Mus musculus: one gene and its partners. The protein of the gene in region 2 interacts with the protein of the main gene of each other region in a biochemical or structural test. Links are inferred from orthologs where the notes say so. Each region holds a gene or a part of one and is shown on either strand. Other genes may lie near its edges. The genes, in order: Apoe, Snca, Ensa, Gba and Plk2.

Region 1 (4,740 bases), on a different chromosome or scaffold from region 2:
GGGCTGAGGTGGTAGCTTGTGCTGACTTTCTCCCAGTGGGAAGGTCAGAGGTCTCAGAAACTTCAGGAAGAAACGGAGTTCCTGGAAGTTCAGCACAATAAGGAAAGTTACTCTGGGAGGAACGGGCCCTAGCACCTTCCCAGGCTGAAACAGGAAATGTCAAGTTGTTTTGTTTTTTAAATTTTGTTGAAGATGTAGCTCTGGGCCTCACGTGTCAGGCAGGTGCTGCTGGGTTCCCTATAGTGCTTTTCCGTGAGGCCTGCTCTGGGGTGTGCGATAAGGGCCTCAGATTGGGCTCTGCATCTCACTGCTGCACCTCATGGCATCCCAAGGGAAGCAAAGACTCACGATGAACTGGTCAGTGTCCTAGACCGCAGCACTAAGACCCTCTCTACTGCCTGGGCTGGAGATGGGAGCTGGCCCTTAGCAACCCATGAAAATCATCTCACCACACCCAGTCCTTGCCAGTGTTTTCTGAAGCCAAAGCTAACAGGCCTGGGCCTGGCCAGGCACCCTGTACGTACCCTTGGAGCCAGGTGTTCCGCCTCTGCCCATCCTGCAGAATCATGTTTTGCCGTGTCTGGTGCCAAACACTGCTATGTGGCTTCTCTCCTGCCATCAACAGCTGGGAACAGGGAACCTTGTGCAGGCAGTGCTTCTAGCAAGCTTGCTGTGGTCTCTGAGCCCCTTGTCCTACCTGACTTCCCAGGTACAATGGCTTTCCCACTTTTTGGGGGTTTTGTTGTTGTTGGGTTTTTTTTTGTTTTTCAAGACAGGGTTTCTCTGTGTAGTCCTGTCGGTCCTGGAACTCACTTTGTAGACCAGGCTGGCCTCCAACTCAGAAATTCACCTGCCTCTGCCTCCAAGTGCTGGGATTATGGGATTAAAGGCATGTGCCACCACGCCCAGCTGGCTTTTCCACTTTTTAGCCAGGACTTCATTCTATTACCTGAGCTCGGGATCTTCCTGCCTCAGCTTTGCATATGGCTAGCACTATAGACCCATGTTCCAGTGAATGACTTATGGCTTGTCTTTTTTTTTTTTTTTTTTTTTTTTTATGTGCATTAGTGTTTTGCCTGCATGTATGCCTTCGTGAGGGTAGCAGATCTTGGTGTTACAGTTGTGAGCTGCTGTGTGGGTGCTGCGATTTTGAACCTAGGTCCTGTGAAATGCAGTCAGTGCTCCTAACCTCTGAGTCATCTCTCCAGCTCCTGCTCTTCTGCTTTTATGAGGAAAAAGAAAAGAGAAGTGGCTTGAGAGTGGAAAATGCACATGCAGGGGTGCACACCTGCAGTCCCAGCATGCTACAGCAGAGGCAGAAGGACCTTTGTGGGTTAGAGGGCAGCCTGAGAATCTTATCTCAAAACAACTTTTTAAAATGTGCTCTGTAGGGGTAGCTCTTCCCTCCCAAGGTGACACATCTGGCAATCGCCAGAAACAGATCAGGAGCATCAACGCTTGGTTTCCCAGGGCTTGGCTTAATGTATGGCTTCAAACCCATCGGGAGCCACCACTGAACAGCTCCTGAAGGAACTGGAGCACGTCCCAGCCTTGGAATGGAAAGAGTTCACCTGTGGTGGAGGAATCAACAACGAGGGATCCCAGAACAACGATCTTCACCCCAGAAGCTGAGCCTCTTAGCCCCCACCCACCCATTTCCATTTAGGCTGCCAGCTCTTTTCTTTACAATGCACCAGACCCCGCGGGGAAAGGGAAGGAGCGGTTCTCAGTGCCCCAGTACCAAGGCCTGGATTATTCAATGAGGTGTCCGCTCCCTTTGTTGGCGGGGGAGGGGAGCGGGGGGTCACAAGGCATCCAAACTCCACCTCTTTCCTCTGCCCTGCTGTGAAGGGGGAGAGAACAACCCGCCTCGTGACAGGGGGCTGGCACAGCCCGCCCTAGCCCTGAGGAGGGGGCGGGACAGGGGGAGTCCTATAATTGGACCGGTCTGGGATCCGATCCCCTGCTCAGACCCTGGAGGCTAAGGACTTGTTTCGGAAGGAGCTGGTAAGACAAGCTGGGCTGGGGATTCACCCAGGGACCTTGGTAGGATGTGGGCTGGGAACCTTGAGATCCCCCGGAGTCCAGGAAACAGGCACAAGAATTGGAAAAGCAGGCAGCACGATAGAAGTCTTGGGGGACAAACTAAGGACTCGAGGTAACTAGCCTTTGCCAGAGTCAGAGCAGGTGGAGGGGTTACCTCCAGGAAGGAGTACGGGACTGTCGGTGCACGGCGTACCGGCTCAACTAGGAACCATCCTATGGCGAAAAAACTCGGGATGAGCCTTAGGCTGCTTTTATATAAATACCTACTGATTTCCATCACAGTCCCCAAGTAACCCGGACTGGTTTCAAACTGTGGCTCCTCATGGCTGAGCTCCCTAAGTTCTGTAGTTGTGGGAGGGTACCACTTCGCAGGGATGGAGGACGATTAAAAATCGTGTTAAATTAACACAAAATGGAAAGCAGGACTTAGCCGGGAAGAAAGAGGAATGTAAGCTGGACCACCCGCTGGCCCTCTGTGAAGTGGAATTTGAACCCTAGGAGAGGGAGCTGGAATTTTTGGCAGCGGATCCACCCCGGGGTGCCGAGATAGCGAACTCGGCAAGGGGAGGTAAACAGACCTTTGGGAAGAGCGGGTGCTCTGTTTTGGAGATGTTTGTGATGGCTCACAGATCTGAGAAGGGAAGATGGGGTTCTCTGGGTGGCCGGAGTCCCTCCACCCCCGCCCCCTGGTGTTCAAAGACAATTTTTCCCTCCGCAGACTGGCCAATCACAATTGCGAAGATGAAGGCTCTGTGGGCCGTGCTGTTGGTCACATTGCTGACAGGTATGGAGCAAGGACTTGCTGTGGTGCCGCTTTTTCTGCTCCTCTGTGGACTCTATTCTAGCCCTAGATCTCTTCTGCTGGTGGGTTGAGGCTGAGGCGGTTCTGAGACCTCTCTGAGATTCAATAGCCCTGAGCAGCTGTTTTATATACTCTTTAGGCCTTGATTTCCCCTAACTATAAGAGGATTGATGGCTTAGTGGGTAAAGGTGCTTATCATAAAGCTTGAAGACTTAACTCTGAGACCAACATAGTGGAAGGAGAGAGCCAATTCCCTCTAGAACTCTGACCTCCAAGGGTACACACACACACACACACACACACACACACACACACAATAAAAAGTTGATTTCTTAGTTGCTCTTAAAAGTGGGGTATACATTTTCTAATTCCACACCTGCCTAGTCTCGGCTCTGAACTACATAGGATACAAGACAGTGCATGCTTGTAGTATCTAAACAGACTCCACAGCCTCCAGACCCACTTCAAAGAGACCCAAAAAGACTGTAGGTCCTGACCCAGCCTTAAACTTACTCTACACAGGATGCCTAGCCGAGGGAGAGCCGGAGGTGACAGATCAGCTCGAGTGGCAAAGCAACCAACCCTGGGAGCAGGCCCTGAACCGCTTCTGGGATTACCTGCGCTGGGTGCAGACGCTGTCTGACCAGGTCCAGGAAGAGCTGCAGAGCTCCCAAGTCACACAAGAACTGACGTGAGTGTCCAGCTCTTTCACCCTCGGCAGGCACCAGCTGATCCAGGGTTGCCTCCTATCTGGGTCCCCAGCCCCTTCTTGTTTCCTTTCTCAATTAGTGTGTAGCCCAGGTTGGCCTTGAATCCTCCTGCCTTCTTTAGCCTTCTGGATGCTGGGAGGAACAGACATTTATTACTTGCTTGGTCGATTGGCTTTTGGCTTCTTGAGACAGGATCCCATTCTGTAACTCAAGCTGGCTTCGAAGGCTCTGCAATTCTTATGCCGCAGCTTCTCAACTTCTGGGAACACAAGCGAGTACCATCACCTCTTGCTCTGTGGTTTCTGGCCCTTCTGTCCTGCCTTCATCTCCTTCCTGTGTTTCCTCTGGGCCTGCAGGGCACTGATGGAGGACACTATGACGGAAGTAAAGGCTTACAAAAAGGAGCTGGAGGAACAGCTGGGTCCAGTGGCGGAGGAGACACGGGCCAGGCTGGGCAAAGAGGTGCAGGCGGCACAGGCCCGACTCGGAGCCGACATGGAGGATCTACGCAACCGACTCGGGCAGTACCGCAACGAGGTGCACACCATGCTGGGCCAGAGCACAGAGGAGATACGGGCGCGGCTCTCCACACACCTGCGCAAGATGCGCAAGCGCTTGATGCGGGATGCCGAGGATCTGCAGAAGCGCCTAGCTGTGTACAAGGCAGGGGCACGCGAGGGCGCCGAGCGCGGTGTGAGTGCCATCCGTGAGCGCCTGGGGCCTCTGGTGGAGCAAGGTCGCCAGCGCACTGCCAACCTAGGCGCTGGGGCCGCCCAGCCTCTGCGCGATCGCGCCCAGGCTTTTGGTGACCGCATCCGAGGGCGGCTGGAGGAAGTGGGCAACCAGGCCCGTGACCGCCTAGAGGAGGTGCGTGAGCACATGGAGGAGGTGCGCTCCAAGATGGAGGAACAGACCCAGCAAATACGCCTGCAGGCGGAGATCTTCCAGGCCCGCCTCAAGGGCTGGTTCGAGCCAATAGTGGAAGACATGCATCGCCAGTGGGCAAACCTGATGGAGAAGATACAGGCCTCTGTGGCTACCAACCCCATCATCACCCCAGTGGCCCAGGAGAATCAATGAGTATCCTTCTCCTGTCCTGCAACAACATCCATATCCAGCCAGGTGGCCCTGTCTCAAGCACCTCTCTGGCCCTCTGGTGGCCCTTGCTTAATAAAGATTCTC
Region 2 (4,678 bases):
ATATACTAAATTAATATTCAACAACTTCTAAATTTGCTTTAAATTAGTGATCTACAGATATGTTTCTTAAGCAACTGAAGTAAAAAAAAAAAAAATCAGTCACAAGCCTGTAGTTGTGGAAGAATTGAGTTTTTCCCCAAATCTACAAATTACTGCTTTTATATTCTGAATTCTATCTAAAACATTATACTTCACAATTCATTAAAAAAAAAACACTCTAAAATTAGCTCATTGACACCCTTCTCTTACAATACTCATTACAAGACTTTCTGAAAGGATGTTTTAAGTAGAAAAAGAGAATTAATTCAATGTAAAATTATTCTGTGAAGAATTAGGAAAGGTGATCTGCTAGAAACTTCAATGAAAAGACACATTCATGAAAATGTTTACAAGTATCAATTCCTCACTGATCGTTTGGAGGGTCAGCATGGCTTCCCCCGATTGGTACTCTGGGTAGCATCTGCATCACTTTTGCCACCTGTTCTGCTCCTTTTCAGCCTGAATGTTTACCCTGAGTCTTCCACCAAGAGAGATGCCCTCCTAAGAAGGTGGAAACAGTGTTCACAGGAGGAAAGAGAGGTAGATGAACCCTGCAACTGTGCTCCCATGTGCACCTGTGTCTCTGCTGGGGATAAGCATGTGTGCATGGGTGTCTATTCCTTCCATGAAAGTACTAGAAGGGATTTGTAAAGTTACAGCCAATTTAACACAGGGAAAGACAGAGAAAGGGAGTGTTGGCCTTCCTTTCAATGTGTACAGTCAGGCAGAAAATGGCACTAAATATCAACCTCTTACTGTTCAGCATGTATGATCTCTGACAGGTGAACTAAACAAACATTTCTGAAGTTCCTTAAGTCCCGCTGTTCCCACTGACCAAGTGATCCCTAAAAGGAGATCCACCAAAGAAGACTTGCTTTCTTTCTTCTATTTGAGGGTCAAAGGAGTTGTATTTTCACAGTTGTAAAATAAAATTATGCAAAACTATTGTTTAAAGCTTTATAATTTATTAAACTTAGCAGGTATTACCTATAGTGATGATGAAAGAAATCAAAGTCCCATGAGTACTTGTGGCTCACTTTCTTTCTTTCTTTCTTTCTTTCTTTCTTTCTTTCTTTCTTTCTTTCTCTTTCTTTCTTTCTTTCTTCCTTCCTTCCTTCCTTCCTTTATTTCTTTATTTCTTTGTGTGTGTGTGTGAGTGTGTGTGTGTGTGTATGTGTGTGTGTGTATGTGTGTATGTGTGTATGTGTGTGTGTAAGAGAGAGTGTGTGTGTGTGTATTGTGTGTGTGTGTGAGTGTGTGTGTGTGTGAGAGAGAGAGAGAGAGAGAGAGAGAGAGAGAGAGAGTGTGAGTGTGTGTGTGTGTGTGTGTGTGTGTGTGTGTGTGTTCTCACATAGTTCAGGCTGGCATCAAATTCTCTGTGTAGCTGAAGATGACCATCAACTCCTGGTCCTTGGGCCTCCACTTCCCAAATGCCACCAGGCTTACTGCCATACATGTCTTTGATTCATAAGCATATTCTTGGTTATTTTTCATGGGTTGCCAATTTTTAAAATTCAGTGTATTCATACACAGAAACAGAAAACCAAATAAAAAACCTACATAAATAACAAGATTAATGAATCTAAGGACAGAAAACATTGTCCCTGTTTGTTTCTGAGAGCTAATATGCAGGTTCATATTCTCTCACCTCCACACAGCTGTCACTCTTCTGAGAAGCTGTGATGCACACGAATCAGACACCACACACCAGCCACCCCAATTCATTAGTCACAGTGTCACTACCTACCTACATAGAGGACTCCCTCTTTTGTCTTTCCAGCTGCCTCTGCCACACCCTGCTTGGTTTTCTCAGCAGCAGCCACAACTCCCTCCTTGGCCTTTGAAAGTCCTTTCATGAACACATCCATGGCTAAAGATGTATTTTTGCTCCACACTAGAGAATACAGAATACATTTTGAATTAGAAAATTTGGGTAAAAAAATAATAATAATAAGGTTTAAAACAGCTAGAGAAAGAAAGGAAATTGAGGGGGAAAAATCAGTATGCCTTCCCCCAAGTCCTGGTGTAAGTGTGATTTCTTGGGTGGGGGGATGTGGGGGTGCTGGGCACAGTGTTGATTGATTGTTGAGTTATGTCACTCAATACTAGGAAAAAGTCATGTCACTTAAGGATGGGATGGATCTAGTTTGATCATTCGACTGCTCTTACATACATATTTCAGAAGAAGAGTTGCAGAAGGGGAGGTGGGCATCCTCTACCCCATCAAGTTCCCAGGGCCCAAAGGTTACATTCAAAGTAAAAAGACTATCTAGAAAAGGAACATGGGAGGTGGGCGTACAGAGATGGAGTGGGGGCAAGAGGATAAAAGACCCAGAGAGGAGTCAGTCTTTGGAGAAGGAAGGGAGGGGAACTGTTTAATCTAGAAGTAGGGAACTGCTTGAAGCCCAGCCTTTCTAATCTTGCAAGACCTTCTGCCCACCACTAGCTCTTTGCCTGCTATCTGCCCAGAGCAGGCGCTGTCCATACACTTGAGCAGTCTCACTTGAGCACCACCCAACCAAGAAGCTCTGTCCTCAGCTGGAATCCTCTAGAAGACCCTGCACCCCATGCTCATTAACCCTTTATCACCTGTTGCCTACTGTCCTCTGCACTTCTATTAATCATGGGCCAAAGGCACCCTTCTTCCTCTACAGAAAGAAGCTGAAATGCCTGGGGTTGGAGCATGAAAGTTGGATGCTCAAATTCCACCCAATGCCCAGCACTAAGCTTCCACCATCCAGCACTCAACATGAAACACCCTAGCGTTTCCGCTTGAAAAAGCAGATGCCACAGGCAACCTGGCCTTTCCCTCGGGCTTTGACAGGATGGAAGGGCATGTCTCCAGCGAAAGGAAAGCCGAGTGATGTACTTTCCACGCACTGGCCCAGTCCCCACCGCCAAAGCAGCTGTAGTTGGTCTTCTCTAGGCGTCCCGGCTCTTTGCTCCGGCTAGCTAAGATCCCCAGAGCTGCCCCATCTACAGGTACTTACCGGCTCCCTAGGCTTCTGAAGAACTCCGATTCTTCCTGTTTTCCCCAATCTAATTTCAATGAAAGAGGCAAGGGCAGGCAGGGGCAGGGGGAACACCTGCTGGTCTCCTGCCGTCTGCTGCCTGCTGCCGGGCGCTCTGGCTCCCTGGCTCCTTCACGTCGCCCCCGCAGCTGATTTGTCAGCGCCTCTCCCCGCCCCTCGCCTGCCTCGTGCCTTCGCTCCTCTTCCTAGGGAGGGGACGGGTTGGTTGGAGGTGCGGTGCGTGAGGGCTGTGGGTATCTGGAGCACATTCCCCCGGATGGAAGGAAGAGAGGACGGCCTGAGCCTCCCCTCGAGTTCAGAGGGCCCTCAGTTTTATCGTGGCTGAACTTGAGCTGGCGCCTCTCCTGCCCCACCCCCCTCCTTCCCTGCCTCAGTCTGTTCCCAGTTCCTCTAGGCGACCCCCTCCTCCAGGACGAGCCCAGATGCCACACCAGAGAGCTGGACCGCCTGAAATGGTCTGTGTGCGGAGCCAGGCAATGGAGAGGGAGCACACACCCTTGGGGTTGCTTTTGTTCACACAGCTTAAGATTTCCATTTGTTTTTACCCCGGAGGAGTCTAAAAGGGTTCTGGGTGCAAAGGGGAGCCGACTAAGGAAGAGTTACAGGTCGAAGAAGCAGGGGGAGGCTCAGCAAATCCTCATTCCCACTCCACTATCACCATTTTCTTTTCCACCAATCAGCGGCTGCCAGACGCTGATTTTTTTTTCCCCATCTGTGGAGCAAGGAATAAATATCCCCCAACCGTCGAAAACCAGCTGCCTCAAGGCTTTTTTGCACTTGAGAAAGTGGCTTACTATAGAGTTACAGGATAGGAAGGTAGCGGCTGTGGGATTCACCCTCTGGGACCATCACAGGCAGTTTCTTCCTTAGTCCCTACTTAATGGCAGATTTTGCACACCTCTTACCTTTCCGACTTCTGGCTGCGTGGAGCTCCAGCGAACAGACTCTTCTTCCAATCCAAGCACACGCGCAGATAGATGCACAGGCTTTGAGACAATTTCTGTGTTACTTAACACGTTCCCACTTCTCTCTGAGATGAGCAGAATACCACTGTTTTATAGCAGAGTGGATTTGAGTGCCAAGCTCCTCCCCCAGCAGAGTGCCTTGCTTTTCCTTTCTTGTATTCTGAACTTGTGTTGGGCACTGGAAGCTAAATCAAGCGTTTACTGTATTAAAAGGGGGGGGGGGTCGTAGGAGGGAATGCTTTCTCTGATCCTTGAAGTCAGTTGACTTCTGAATCCTGAAAAATAAATAAATAAATAAATAAATAAATAAATAAATTGAAGTCTAAAAAAGCATTTGAAACAAGGGACAAGCAGCTTGTTTGGCATGCTATAAAGGAAGGAGGCAGATAAAACCACAAATGCAGAGTACAAGTAATGTGACAGAAATTAACTGTTTAAGCAACGCCTTCAATTCTTATTCCCTTTAAAAATCAACCTTCCTACACACTAGTGGCACATACCATGTTTACTTGAAATTAAAGGAAAAGGTGGCACCTCTGCAGTAGATAGGGTTAGATCCTGGGCTCTAGCATCCCCATCCTGCCAAGTTAGGACACCTGTCCTCAACCAGCCAGGTAAAGTGACATATAAATAGTGAAATAC
Region 3 (2,937 bases), on a different chromosome or scaffold from region 2:
CAGTACTCAGGAGGCAGAAGCAGGTATATCTCTTGAGATTAAGGCCAGCCTGGTCTGCATAGTGAGTTCCAGGGTTTTTTGAAACCTGTCTCCAAAAAAAAAAAGTAACACAGAGACAATTCTTTTTCCTGTACAGAATGATAGAGGATGTAGCTCATGGGAAAGCACTTGTCTAGCCTGGGTTTAACCTATAAGGCCACAAAAGTGAAGAAACAGCAGCTGGAATGGCCTTCCTTAGCAGTGGAGGGCTGCCTTCACAGCCATCTCCTTCGTGGTCAGGTTTCTCCCTACCATGAGCTGACAGCAGATTATAAGGACAAAGCTGCAGTGTAAAGATGAGATGGAGAGAGAAGCAGCCTCCTGTGGAGAATCCCAGGTGCTCAGTCTTAGTCACAGATGACAGTGTGATGTTGAATTGCAGCTCCTCTTGAGGCGAGCCAGGCGTAGGCAGACAGTCTCACCATGGAACATGTGTGGGAGTGGTGGGAGTCTGGAAAGCTCACTGCCTCACGAGCAAGCCCAGTGCCTAATCCTGCTCTGAGAATATTTTCTAACTCTGATAGTCGGTTTCTGGTTGGTCTCTAGCTGCTGGTAGACCCAGATTGATTCTTCTTGAGTCTTATTCATGCTTTTCCCCAGCACCAAGGTATTGCTTTGGCACCTAGCTGTTACGAATGAAGTAAGTGATTGTAATTGAACCTTCTAGTACTCAGTAAGGTACAAAAGATACAGGAGTTGTCACCTAGGTTCAGGGACACAGCTGCCCCTTATGCAACAAAGGTACATGTTTCTGCTAGTAATCTGCTTATATTCTGACAAGGTCAGAGCATGCTGGGAAATGAACTTACAAGTGAGTAATGTGGACTGTGTGCATGGGGAATACTTAGACAGCTGAGGTAGGTGGGAGCTTATGCTGACGGTAGACAGTGAGTCTCTGCTTTTGGAGAACACCAAGGTTGCACATTCATCTAAACCTCGCTCCTGTCTCTTAGCAAAAGTACTTTGACTCAGGAGACTACAACATGGCCAAAGCCAAGATGAAGAACAAGCAGCTGCCAAGTGCAGGAGCAGACAAGAACCTGGTGACCGGTGACCACATCCCCACCCCACAGGACCTGCCCCAGAGAAAGTCCTCGCTCGTCACCAGCAAGCTTGCGGGGTAACCTGGGCCCCTCTCTTCCCCTTCCTCACCCACTGGACTGTTATATATTGTAGGCAGGGAATGGGCACCTAGTCAGAGCTCAGCTTGCCATCCAGGGGAGACATTCTGCTGGGGGCTTAGGTTGAAGATGGGCTCTGAGTTCATTTCTTTGGGTAAATTGAAACTTGTACACCCTCATGATAGCCCAGTAGAGACCCAAGAGTAGGAAAGACTAGGAGTGCAGAGTGCTGCAGCTTTTCCTGTGGTGAGAATGTGGAAGATGCAAGTTCTCCTGTTGGAGGAGCAAGTCCTTAGACGGGCTATCGTGGAGCAGTGTGACAGGTTCAGTGTCCCAAGGCTGAATTGACATGCTGAGAAAGGTAGAGTGAAGGAGATGCTCTCTGTGCTTCTAAGTGTGCTGTCCCTTAGGCCTCTGTGCTCTGTGTTCCCATCGTGGGTGTTTAGGGGACCTTCAAAAGAGAGGAGATTTCTGCTTGCTTAAAATTACAGGGCCCACCTAACCCCTCTGCTGTGTTCCTCCAACAGCTGCCCTGCTTCTCAAGGAGTGTAAAGTTTAACAGACGTTAGCTACTTATGAAAAAGAAAATGGTATCTTTTCTCTTCCAGCATGTTGCTTTTTGAAAGTATTATGGGATAATGGAAAGAGTTTAGGAGTTGAAATACTTGGGCTGTAGTTTTTGTCAAGCTCAACAGCACTGATGTGTGAGCTTGGCCAGGTCTGTAGCCTCTCTGAATTGATCCTGTTCCTCGTCTGTAAACAGACGGAAACGCGTGTGTAGGCTAACTCTGACTCTAAAGTCCTACACCTGCCATACCCTTCTGGTCATCATAAAACCAAAATTGAGGCAGGCCCATGGCTGAACCTCAGCTCTGTAGAGCCAGAAGTGCTACATGGGACGAGAGAGAGTTTGAGATTTAAGGGCCATAGCTTCCAACAACAGTCTCATAGGTATCATAGCCTTTTTGAGAGAGAAAGAGAACAAACCTGAAAAGGCTGTCCCTGGATGTGTCTTGACTCTGCCCATTTTCCTGGGTCTGCTGTTGACCCTAGCTGCTACAAAGCTGCTCTGGCAGCAGACTGGATAGGCCTGAGGAGACAGGCTCATTGACGTGGCATCTTGCTTCAGATGTATGTTAGGCATGGAGGAAGAAGGGATGAAGGGAGCTGGTCCCCAGAGCTTAGAGCTACTGCCAGCTGGAGCAGCTGCTCCTTAGCAGATGATTCACTGGTGGAGGATGGAAAGAGGGTGCAGGGAGGGAGGCAGCAGCCTGTCTTGCTGTGTCATCACTAGTTTGGCCTGGATCTTACTAAATGCCACCTGCTCGTCATCGACAGAGAGGGCCAGAGTGAGAACTGCTCAAAAGAGCAAGATGGTGCAGTCTCTCTCCCCTTTCCAGATTGCACTGTGCCCTTAGGATGTCTGGCGAGTTTGTGGATGTGTGTGTTAGGGGAAGGACATGTAAATATGCCCTTCTCCTGATTGGCCACTGCCCAGGTCTCTGGCCATCATTCAGATTGGGTAGAAATAGATTGGTGAGGAAGGAATGGAGAGAGCAGGACCCCTGGTCTCCCTGGCCCCCAAACTCTTTGACTCTCATTTGTAATGTATATAATTTTGTGTTTTTTGCTCCATTTTCTCATGCTGTCATCCTTAATGAGAAGTCCATGTGGGAAGGGGACAAACTGAACATCACTGTATAGTTTCTTCAATGTCCCAACCATGTTTACATAGATATGTCATGTTATTATATATATAAATATATATATAATTTTG
Region 4 (4,832 bases), on a different chromosome or scaffold from region 2:
CATAAGCATCCAGAAACCTGGCAAGAGAGAAAGGGCCTGAGTGATCAGGGCCAAGAAAGTGGACCAAGACATGGGCAATAGGTAAAACTAACAAACTGAAAGGCATGGAATGTTGAAAGTGGAGCAGGTCAAGGGATACGATGTAGACTACGGTGTCCAGATCCCAGGGCCCTGACGATCCCTTACTTGACAAAGTAATTGGCCCAGGTCTGGTGAAAGATATCCCCTGGCTGACCCTTGAGCGACCCCTTCCCATTCACTCTTCCATTGGTCTTGAGCCAAGTGGGTGATGTCCAGGGACTGGCAAAGAGTGAAATGGGGCGTGAGGACATCTTCAGGGCTTGGTGAATCAGGGGTATCTGGAGACAAACAGTGAAGAGAGAGACACCCAGAGCTGGAACACATACTAGTTCTACCAGTGCATCAGGTCCAACCATCAGCCCCCACCCTCTTACCCCCAAGTCAAATAGGCTGCAGAATGTTCCATGTTGCTCTAGAGACAGCTCTAACCTGGACCTTCCCAGCCCCAAGACGGCAATCCAATAGGGCTGAGGCAACTAGAATGCCCACCTTGAGCTTGGTGTCTTCTTCTGGGAGGCTGAAGTTGGATAACTGGAAGTCGTTAGGGGTGTCAGCATAGGTATAGACACGGATGGAGAAGTCACAACTGGCCATGGGTACCCGGATGATGTTATATTCAATTCCTGCAGGAATTGATGGCCAAGATAGGGAGATCTGAATCAATAGGAGACTATGGAGCCAAGTGTACCATGCCTGTGATCCCATTCCTCCTGAGGCTGAGGCAGCCAGATCAATGTGAGCAGGCCAGCCAGGGCTACAAGGCAAGACCCTGTCTCAAAATAAGATAAGATAAAATAAAATAAAACAAGGTGAGTATGAAAATTGGCTTTAATCAGTTATTAGTCCTCAATAGGCCCTCATTCAGAGCCAGGGTCTAGGTGTGGGCTTGTGGAGACCAGAACCTAAGTGAAACCGAAGCCCCTCTGCACATGTATTTCCTAAGTACTTAGCAGAATATTGAAAAAGGTGATCGTATTTCAGTGGCACTGAGTCAGGAACCATCGGCCTGGTACACTTGGTGGCATAATACTTGTAATTCCAGCACTTGGAAAACTAAGTCAGAAAAGAGTTCGAGGCTAGTCATGGCTACAGTGTTCGAGGCAAGCCTGGTAAAGCAAGGTAGGGATGGGACAAAGGGAAAGAGTAAGAACTGAGAGGCAGGCTGGGGATGTAGTTCAGGTGGCAGAATGCCTGCCAAGGATGCATGGCGCCCTAAGTTTGAGCTCCAACACTGTGTGAACTGGGCTTGCTAATGCACACCTGTAATTCCAACACTCAGGAGACGAGAGGCAGGAGTTCAGCCATCACTGACTACACAGTAGATTTGTCTGGAACACATGAGGTCTACTCCAGGAGCATTACAGAGGCGAGGAGAGAAGAAAAGGAAGGGAGGCAAATGTCCGGGAAAAGTATGGAAGCAAGAGCAAAAAGCCTGGCAAGACAGCTCCGTGGGAAGACCCCCGACTCTAGCCCATGGGTCCCATGGTGGACAGTGGACACCCGAAAATTGTCCTCTGACCTCCCCCTCACTCATGCACAGCACACACAAGAGATAATGAAATGTAATAAAAAATTTAAAAATAAAATAAAGCCAGGGTATGAAAAGGGGCATAAGTTACAGTGTACCACCTTGCTCTGCCCTCCTCACCGTTGGTAGAGAAGTAGGATCTGAGTAGCAGCTTCTGAGTAGGTGGGGACAAAGCAAGGATGTTGAGCGCAGTGGCGTCTGTCATGGCGCCTCCAAATCCTTTCACTTTCTGGAACTTCTTTTCTGGCTGCAAAGTGAGTAGTAACCCTGGGAAAAGAAGAGGAAAAGTCAGAGTCCAGAAGAGGACATGCTGATCACTGGTGTGACTTTGGGTCCAGGCTTAGAGGGACAGATAAAGTGGCTACCTGTGCCAGTGCGATTGGCCTGGATGGCCCCGACACTCAGCTCCATCCGACGTCCACGTCGAGTGCTCTCGTAACGGCTGAAGGTACCCAGAGCCGGTAAGGTCACGGGGTCAAGAGAGTCACAGTACGATGCATTACAGACACAGACCACTGAGCTGTAGCCAAAGCTTTTGGGGATGCAGGGTTGGGCACCTAGGAGGCAGGGCACAAGCAGAGGCAGGCATCAAAGCGGGTTTATGAGGGAGTGGGCATGCTAGGTACGAGACAGAACAACAATTAAAAAAAAAAAAATCCGGGCTGGTGAGATGGCTCAGTGGGTAAGAGCACCCGACTGCTCTTCCAAAGGTCTGGAGTTCAAATCCCAGTAACCACATGGTGGCTCACAACCATCTGTAACGAGATCTGACGCCCTCTTCTGGTGTGTCTGAAGACAGCTACAGTGTACTTACATATAATAAATAAATAAATATTTTTTTAAAAAAATCCTTCCACCATACTCCCAGCCCAAAGATGTCTCAGGCATTCTAAAAGAGTTACAGAGTCCCTACTGAAATTTCAGCACCATAATGGAAGGCTACCAGAGGACTTTGGGGGCAGGGGACACCTTCATGCCTCCATCTCCATCCTAGACTCACCATATGCCCAAGATACCGCCTGAAATAGGAAGAATCCGATGAGCCTGGCAGCCATGACACCAGCACACTTCTGAGAAGAAAATGTAGAGGAAAGATAATAGTGTAAGACTCTCTCTACCCTGCAACCACCCTCCTGGCCAGAGTTTAGCTGCCTGTGGATGCTCACAGCATAGGCTCCCACCTTTATTAGTGATTAGACAGTGCCCGTAGACCCTGGAGGCGTCCTGCATTCATTCACTCTGCTAGGGAGTTTGCTGCCCACTCCAAAGAAGACTCTCTTCACTCTTTTCCCCCATCGATTTCAACCTTCAGCCCTCCCTCCATCTGTGCCCTCAAAGAGCCATGATGCCCTGAATTTAAAAAAAAAAAAATTGAACTCACCGAATTCCATAATCTAGATAGGCAGAATTCCCGAAGCAAGATTGACAAGGCAAATTGTAGCCCTGCCCGCTTACCTCTCCAGAAGATCTTGGAAACTGGAGCTACTCAGGACCAGCGAATGAGAAGACTGTGGAAGTTTCTGTGCCTTGGAGGGATAGAAGACCTACCAAATAAAACACAGACAGATATCATAGCTCTTGGAACCGACTAGCACAGCAAGTTCCTTCCGGCTTAAAGGGGCGGACAGAGTCACATGATGACTAAGCCGGTCACGTGATGCAGGAAGTGAAGCAATCGAAGCCATATTTGTAATGGGCAGTTGGGCTCTTCTAGGTTAGTCATTCATTGCATACCCTGTGAATTTTGGGGAGGCCTAAAGGATGACACCTTTAGGAAGAGAATTCTAACAAGGATTGTATGGACAGCTGAGTAGAGGCTCCTAAATCCAAGACAGAGAGGACTTCTAGCCTGTGAGGGCCACTGTATTCACATGCACATACCGACACACAGATATACATAATTTAAAAATAAAATTTAAAAATAAAAACAAGGGGCTGGAGAGATAGCTCAGCGGTTAAGAGCACTGACTGCTCTTCCAGAGGTCCTGAGTTCAATTCCCAGCAACCACATGGTGGCTCACAACCATCTGTAATGGGATCTGACGCCTTCTTCTGGTGTCTGAAGACAGCTACAGGGTACTCGTCATATATATAAAAAATAAATAAATAAATATTTTAAAGAAAATATTTATTTATTTATTATATGTAAGCTGTCTTCAGACACTCCAGACCTCTGGAAGAGCAGTCACTGCTCTTAACCACTGAGCCATCTCTCCAACCCCAAATAAAATCTTTTAAAAAAATAAAAATAAATAAAAACAAAATTTAGAAACCCCACATACAGCCTGGAATTGGTGGCACATGCCTTTAAATCCAGCACTTGGGAGGAAAAGGCAGGCGGATCCCTGTGAGTTCAAGGCCAGCCTGGTCTATGGGGCAATTTCCAGGACAGCCAGTCCTGTTACACAGGGAAACCCTATCTCGAAAAACAACAACAAACCCCACATACACACAATCTTTATCCTAAAAAGACTAGTGAGACACATGAGTCAGACACTTACACGGAGTTACAGGCGAAGACAGACAGAAATGTTGAGAGGTATACTTGCAAGACTCCTTGAGAGGAAAGGGGACCCTTCCCAGAAGAACAGGCGGGGGGGGGGGGGGGGGGGAGTCACAGTAAGTGCAGGGAGTTGCTGTCGGGCTCTGGAGATCAGGACCAAGGGAGGGAGTGGTCCCCACTGGCCGTTTCTGGATTCTCTTGCTTTATCATCAGATGCTGGCTGGAAAGCTCTTCATCCTTCCTCCCAGGAAACTGGAAAATGCTGTCTGTCTTTGGTGGACACAAGAAGAGGGCTGTCGTCCGGGTTTCCTTGTGAGCCACAATAAAGTTGATTAATTGGCAGTGACACATGCAGCGTGATCTGACTAAGTCCAGGTCTCTGAGCCTGTTTCCACACTTGCCCAACATAGACACCAGCATAGTCTCACAGAACCATTACTAGCGTTAGCAAGAGAAGTCAAGGGAAGTCTGAGCCTGTTTCCACACTTGCCCAACATAGACACCAGCATAGTCTCACAGAACCATTACTAGCGTTAGCAAGAGAAGTCAAGGGAAGTCTGTAATTACACATTAGGAGCTTTATGCTTGCTGAGTGAGGTTTTTACATTCTTATAATTACCACATACCCTTTTTAAAAAATTGATTAGTTATCTTCTTCAGCTCTGGCAATATTTAAATTACAGTTGCTTGGAGCTGCATTGGTTTGAGTCCTGGCAACTG
Region 5 (4,878 bases), on a different chromosome or scaffold from region 2:
GGAATTCTGCATGTCACTCTTTCCCTGTTGGCAAGGACTGAGCACTGATATTTTATTAAAGGCCTGTATAATCTTTGGAACACAGAACTCCAATGTGAAGTGACCGCTTACGTACTGTGTTAACCGAGACAATAGGACGGGCATGGAGTTCGCAAAACTTCGTGGTTCTATGAAAAATGTATTGATAATAGCTATTTAAATCGTCTAGGACCCCGTTTCTTCACCTGTAAGATGGGAAAGATGTAGACTAGGCTATGTCCCTTCAAAACAGGTCCACAGGTAGCTAGACTATGTCACCCTCAATGTAACCGCTGAGTCGGGATAAGTTTGAATTGAATTAAAAGATAGGTAGACACAGAAAGCCTGAAAGTGGCACACCACTTTTTTGTAAGGAAAAAGAAAAAAAATCACATTTATTAAAAGAAGTCTCAAGTTCTAAGTCTCCAGAACCAGACAAAAAGAACGATTCTAAGTAACAAACTTATCAGTGAAAAACATAAACTCTTCCCTATTTACTCCCTTGTTCCCGACTGCCTTTTGTTTCCTGTCTTTTCCCACACTCTTGTTTTGGCTTCTGATAGCATTCAAACCTCAATTCTAAGCCACTTTGGAGGGTACTCTTTTTGTTGTGAATGGAGAAACTTGTGGTTCTGCAGTTTATCTGCCCAGCCCGAGGAACCACAGTGATAATTTGAAAGGGTAGAAGGAAAATGATTTTCCCTCCCCTAATATGGCAGACTTTTTCATTCAGGATTGTATTAAGATGATATAGACAGGGCCGGGCAGTAGTGGCGCACACCTTTAGTCCCAGCACTTGGGAGGCAGAGGCAGGCGGATTTCTGAGTTCAAGGCCAACCTGGTCTACAGAGTGAATTCCAGGACAGCCAGGGCTACACAGAGAAAAGAGAAACCCTGCCCCCCCCCCCAAAAAAAATGTATACAGCATTTCAAAATAGCTACCAGCGGTTAATACGGAACCATACGCGCTGGAACAAGGAAGAAGGAAAGTCTCTGAGATGGTACAACTGAACAGTAAAATCTGTAAAAACTGAACAGCCGCCTTTATTCTCCACTATACCCCACTGTGGGACCTTAGATTGACTCTGTGTACCAGGGCGGTGACATTGCTTAGTGACATTAGATCCACGCAATCTGAATCACCTAGTTGGAACAAAAAGTTATAGATGACTTCAATTGTAGAATTATAATTGGCAACAGAACACTTTTAGCGTTACTGTGGAAGCCAGCCCATATTGTTGCTAAGGAACCTCGGCCCACTTAGACCGTTAATCGTTTTTCTGAAAAAATCCACAGGATGGCGATCTTGCTTAGACTTGTTGCGTACCAAACCTTCTCCAGTCGTCAAGCCCTCGCTCCACTCCAAGGTTAAGAGCCTGGCCTCTGACAGGGGTCACTTATCAGGCGATGGGAAGAGGCTGCAGGGAGCTCAGATACTCCCACGCCACAGCAGGTCACCCGGATCTGCGACCCGGATTGTGCCTGGTTCCCTAGCTGCTCTGGCTCTGCCTGGTGCCCGGTTCCGCAAGGCCGGCCACTGAGCCTCCCGCCTGCGGTGGCGGCGGAGGTCCCCAAGCGCTCCGGGTCTCCGGGTGCCACCCCGCGGGGCTCGCTGGATGACAGGGTGTGGGGCTGCACACAGTCAGGAGGGCGGTGCCAACCCTGCGGCTCCCCCGGGCTGCTACCCCGCATCCCCGCTCCTCCAGGACCCAGACAGGGCGTCCGCCCTTGGGTTTCTGTTTCCCACGTCCAAAGTCAGGGCACGCGACGAACTGGGGGCACTTGGCGTACCGCCGCCTTCAGGCCAGGTCGAAGCCCACGACATCCAGGCGGCCACCCCGCACCTATCCACAGCGCGGACTCCGGGGCCGGTGGGTGGAGCGCTCGCCGTGACGTCACGAGGCCCCGCCCCAGCCAGCCGGCGCGTATTTAAAGCTTCGCTGCTCGCTCTTGCTCGCACAAGCGAAGCAGGACGTCAGACTAGAGAGTAGGGAGAGAGACTGGTGCTCGAGGGACAGGGCTAGCCCGGACGCTTGTCCGCGCCTCGGAGGTGGCAAGTAGGCAGTGTCGGGTGGCGAGGCAACGATGGAGCTCCTGCGGACTATCACCTACCAGCCGGCCGCCGGCACCAAGATGTGCGAGCAGGCTCTGGGCAAAGCTTGCGGCGGGGACTCAAAGAAGAAGCGACCGCAGCAGCCTTCTGAAGATGGGCAGCCCCAAGCCCAGGTGACCCCGGCGGCCCCGCACCACCATCACCACCATTCCCACTCGGGACCCGAGATCTCGCGGATTATAGTCGACCCCACGACGGGGAAGCGCTACTGCCGGGGCAAAGTGCTGGGCAAGGTGAGGAGCGGCGGACGTCAGGCTGCCGGGCGGGAGGGCGGGCTGCCCGGGCAAGCTGAGCGAGCAGGGACCCAGCGCCCGCACTTCTCGCTCCTTCAGCTGTCTGGTTCCCCGAACGATCGACGTGGGTTCCTCTCCTGCCCTCCTGGGCTTCTGTGCGCCGACAGCGCTGGGGTTCGGATTTGCATCCTTAGCCTGTTTTTCTCCCGAGTCTAAGAAGGAGGACTGAAGGCATTCTACCTTGGCCTTGGGCTCTCACTATCTGATCCCCAGGGAGCTAGCCTGTCAAATTTCTTCAGAGGGCATTTTCCTCCCTTTCCCCCTTCCACTCCCTTCTCCATAGAGTTCTTTGTAAAGGGGAAACGAGAAAACTGGACTGGTTTCTAGGAATGTGCTGCCCTTCCTGAAAAACCATTATACAAAGCAGATTGTACTGCTCTGCCCACCCTCTGTTCCTCAAATTTTGCTTCCCGTTCCCATTTACGTATTCATTTATTTTAAACGTTGGCCCTTCATTTTTTTTTTTTTTCCTTTTTTCTGTCCTGCTCAATTCCATCTCGGCTTTGTTTCCTCGCAGGGTGGATTTGCAAAGTGTTACGAAATGACAGATCTGACAAACAACAAAGTCTACGCTGCAAAAATTATTCCTCACAGCAGAGTAGCTAAACCTCATCAGAGGGAAAAGGTGGGTATGACTGTCGACTAAAGTATTTTCTTTGTGTGCAGGGATGGCCCTACCCTGTTAGAAAAAAAATGTCTTCTGCATGTGTAAGCACTGCCTTTCCAGACACGACGAGAGACTAATAAGCCTTCTCTTGCTTTTTTTATTTTTCCTTAGATCGACAAAGAAATCGAGCTTCACAGACTACTGCACCATAAGCATGTCGTGCAGTTTTACCACTACTTTGAAGACAAAGAAAACATTTACATTCTCTTGGAATACTGCAGTAGAAGGGTAAGTGTTGACTCCTGGGTCAGCGAGCTTGCCGACAGGAAGCCGGAGTGGTGTTTGGATTACATTTTATCAGCGGTTTTAGCCGTGACAGTTAATTAGTCTCCCACCATATGAGACTGCGTCGTCAGTCCAGCAAAGGGATGCCCGATCTAGGTAACTTTATTTGACAAATTCTCCTCTCTCCCCTTCTCTTCCTAGTCCATGGCTCACATCTTGAAAGCAAGAAAGGTGTTGACAGAGCCAGAAGTCCGATACTACCTCAGGCAGATTGTGTCAGGACTCAAGTATCTTCACGAACAAGAAATCTTGCACAGGGATCTCAAGCTAGGTAAGGCTTCTCCTGCAGCGACGGGGGTGGGGGTGGGGTGGGGGTGGGGGGGTGGGGGCTAGAGAGTGGGAGGTTTTCCAGTGTTGTGAATCTAGCTTTTTGAATGGGTGCCTTCACTGGAGGGTGCTGATCTCCAAGTGTGAACCTTTCCAAGGGAGTTCATGTTTCCTTTTGTTTATCTTCTAGGGAACTTTTTTATTAATGAAGCCATGGAGCTGAAGGTGGGAGACTTTGGTTTGGCAGCCAGACTGGAACCACTGGAACACAGAAGGAGGTGAGAGCCATGCTCTTCCTGGGGTTTGTGGAGACCAAATATGCCTCTATTATTAGTTAATAGAAAGTTAGTTCACACTACAATCTGCAAACCACAGCAGTGTTACTAAACGGAAACTTGTGTGCACTCTTGAGCGAGATAACTTACACCTCTAAATGGATTATTAAGGCAATCAATAAAATAAATGTTTAAATTTACTTGATATATACATACACACACATACACATGTACACACGCACACACAGGATCTGGTCTCATCTGGTTAAAAATACTTGGTCATATGGGCTGGGCAAATTGTACACACATTAAAAAATTACCAAAAGAAACTTGGTCAAATAAAAACACTAAAAAATAGTCAAGTAGAAAATGAGAAAAAAAAATTCAAGCTTTTATTTCCCATTGAGTCATCCCCAGAGAAGTAATTTTAATTGAAGTCATAGTTCCTAATGAGATCTTGCTATATTCTGTCTTCTCAGAACAATATGTGGAACCCCAAATTATCTCTCCCCCGAAGTCCTCAACAAACAAGGACACGGCTGTGAATCAGACATCTGGGCCTTAGGCTGTGTAATGTAAGTAAATGCACTAAAAAAAAAAAAAAAAAAAAAAAAAAAAGCCAAAGTTGACTCAGTCATGATGCTCAAAAAGAGTTCCTTCTTGACCATTTCTGAAGATGTGCTTCTGTGTACCCAGGTATACGATGCTGCTAGGAAGACCTCCATTCGAAACCACAAATCTGAAAGAAACGTACAGGTGCATAAGGGAAGCAAGGTATACCATGCCATCCTCATTGCTGGCCCCTGCTAAGCACTTGATAGCTAGCATGCTGTCCAAAAACCCAGAGGACCGCCCCAGTTTGGATGACATCATTCGGCATGACTTCTTCCTGCAGGTCAGTGCTCTTTGACCTTTCTGTAAAATTGAGTGTCATCGTCCTGGTTGCTGGAGAGGTTTCTG

What was found.
Region 1: the proteins of Snca (region 2) and Apoe form a complex in vitro, tested with the Homo sapiens proteins (2 studies listed by BioGRID and IntAct). The link is inferred for Mus musculus from reciprocal best matches to the Homo sapiens genes SNCA and APOE.
Region 3: the proteins of Snca (region 2) and Ensa form a complex in vitro, tested with the Homo sapiens proteins (2 studies listed by BioGRID, with this or other methods). The link is inferred for Mus musculus from reciprocal best matches to the Homo sapiens genes SNCA and ENSA.
Region 4: the proteins of Snca (region 2) and Gba form a complex in vitro, tested with the Homo sapiens proteins (2 studies listed by BioGRID). The link is inferred for Mus musculus from reciprocal best matches to the Homo sapiens genes SNCA and GBA1.
Region 5: of the proteins of Snca (region 2) and Plk2, one has a biochemical effect on the other in vitro, tested with the Homo sapiens proteins (2 studies listed by BioGRID). The link is inferred for Mus musculus from reciprocal best matches to the Homo sapiens genes SNCA and PLK2.

What each region holds. Positions count from the first base shown.
Region 1 is NC_000073.6:19,696,278-19,701,017, reverse strand, and holds the start of Apoe (apolipoprotein E precursor), read left to right. Parts: upstream 1-1,829; 5' UTR 1,830-2,007; intron 2,008-2,396; exon of another isoform or gene 2,397-2,494; intron 2,495-2,544; exon of another isoform or gene 2,545-2,614; intron 2,615-2,619; exon of another isoform or gene 2,620-2,764; 5' UTR 2,765-2,787; coding exon 2,788-2,830; intron 2,831-3,370; coding exon 3,371-3,539; intron 3,540-3,914; coding exon 3,915-4,638; 3' UTR 4,639-4,740. UniProt on the Homo sapiens protein: APOE is an apolipoprotein, a protein associating with lipid particles, that mainly functions in lipoprotein-mediated lipid transport between organs via the plasma and interstitial fluids.
Region 2 is NC_000072.6:60,825,695-60,830,372, forward strand, and holds the start of Snca (alpha-synuclein), read right to left. Parts: upstream 3,311-4,678; 5' UTR 3,030-3,310; intron 1,934-3,029; 5' UTR 1,908-1,933; coding exon 1,787-1,907; intron 1-1,786. UniProt on the Homo sapiens protein: Neuronal protein that plays several roles in synaptic activity such as regulation of synaptic vesicle trafficking and subsequent neurotransmitter release.
Region 3 is NC_000069.6:95,627,549-95,630,485, forward strand, and holds part of Ensa (alpha-endosulfine), read left to right. Parts: intron 1-992; coding exon 993-1,159; coding exon of another isoform or gene 1,160-1,163; exon of another isoform or gene 1,164-2,937. UniProt on the Homo sapiens protein: Protein phosphatase inhibitor that specifically inhibits protein phosphatase 2A (PP2A) during mitosis.
Region 4 is NC_000069.6:89,201,319-89,206,150, reverse strand, and holds the start of Gba (lysosomal acid glucosylceramidase precursor), read right to left. Parts: upstream 3,224-4,832; 5' UTR 3,065-3,223; intron 2,960-3,064; exon of another isoform or gene 2,791-2,959; intron 2,680-2,790; 5' UTR 2,665-2,679; coding exon 2,610-2,664; intron 2,167-2,609; coding exon 1,975-2,166; intron 1,877-1,974; coding exon 1,730-1,876; intron 705-1,729; coding exon 571-704; intron 360-570; coding exon 187-359; intron 18-186; coding exon 1-17. UniProt on the Homo sapiens protein: Glucosylceramidase that catalyzes, within the lysosomal compartment, the hydrolysis of glucosylceramides/GlcCers (such as beta-D-glucosyl-(1<->1')-N-acylsphing-4-enine) into free ceramides (such as N-acylsphing-4-enine) and glucose.
Region 5 is NC_000079.6:110,393,074-110,397,951, forward strand, and holds the start of Plk2 (serine/threonine-protein kinase PLK2), read left to right. Parts: upstream 1-1,970; 5' UTR 1,971-2,103; coding exon 2,104-2,364; intron 2,365-2,941; coding exon 2,942-3,049; intron 3,050-3,202; coding exon 3,203-3,319; intron 3,320-3,517; coding exon 3,518-3,647; intron 3,648-3,833; coding exon 3,834-3,921; intron 3,922-4,397; coding exon 4,398-4,493; intron 4,494-4,614; coding exon 4,615-4,813; intron 4,814-4,878.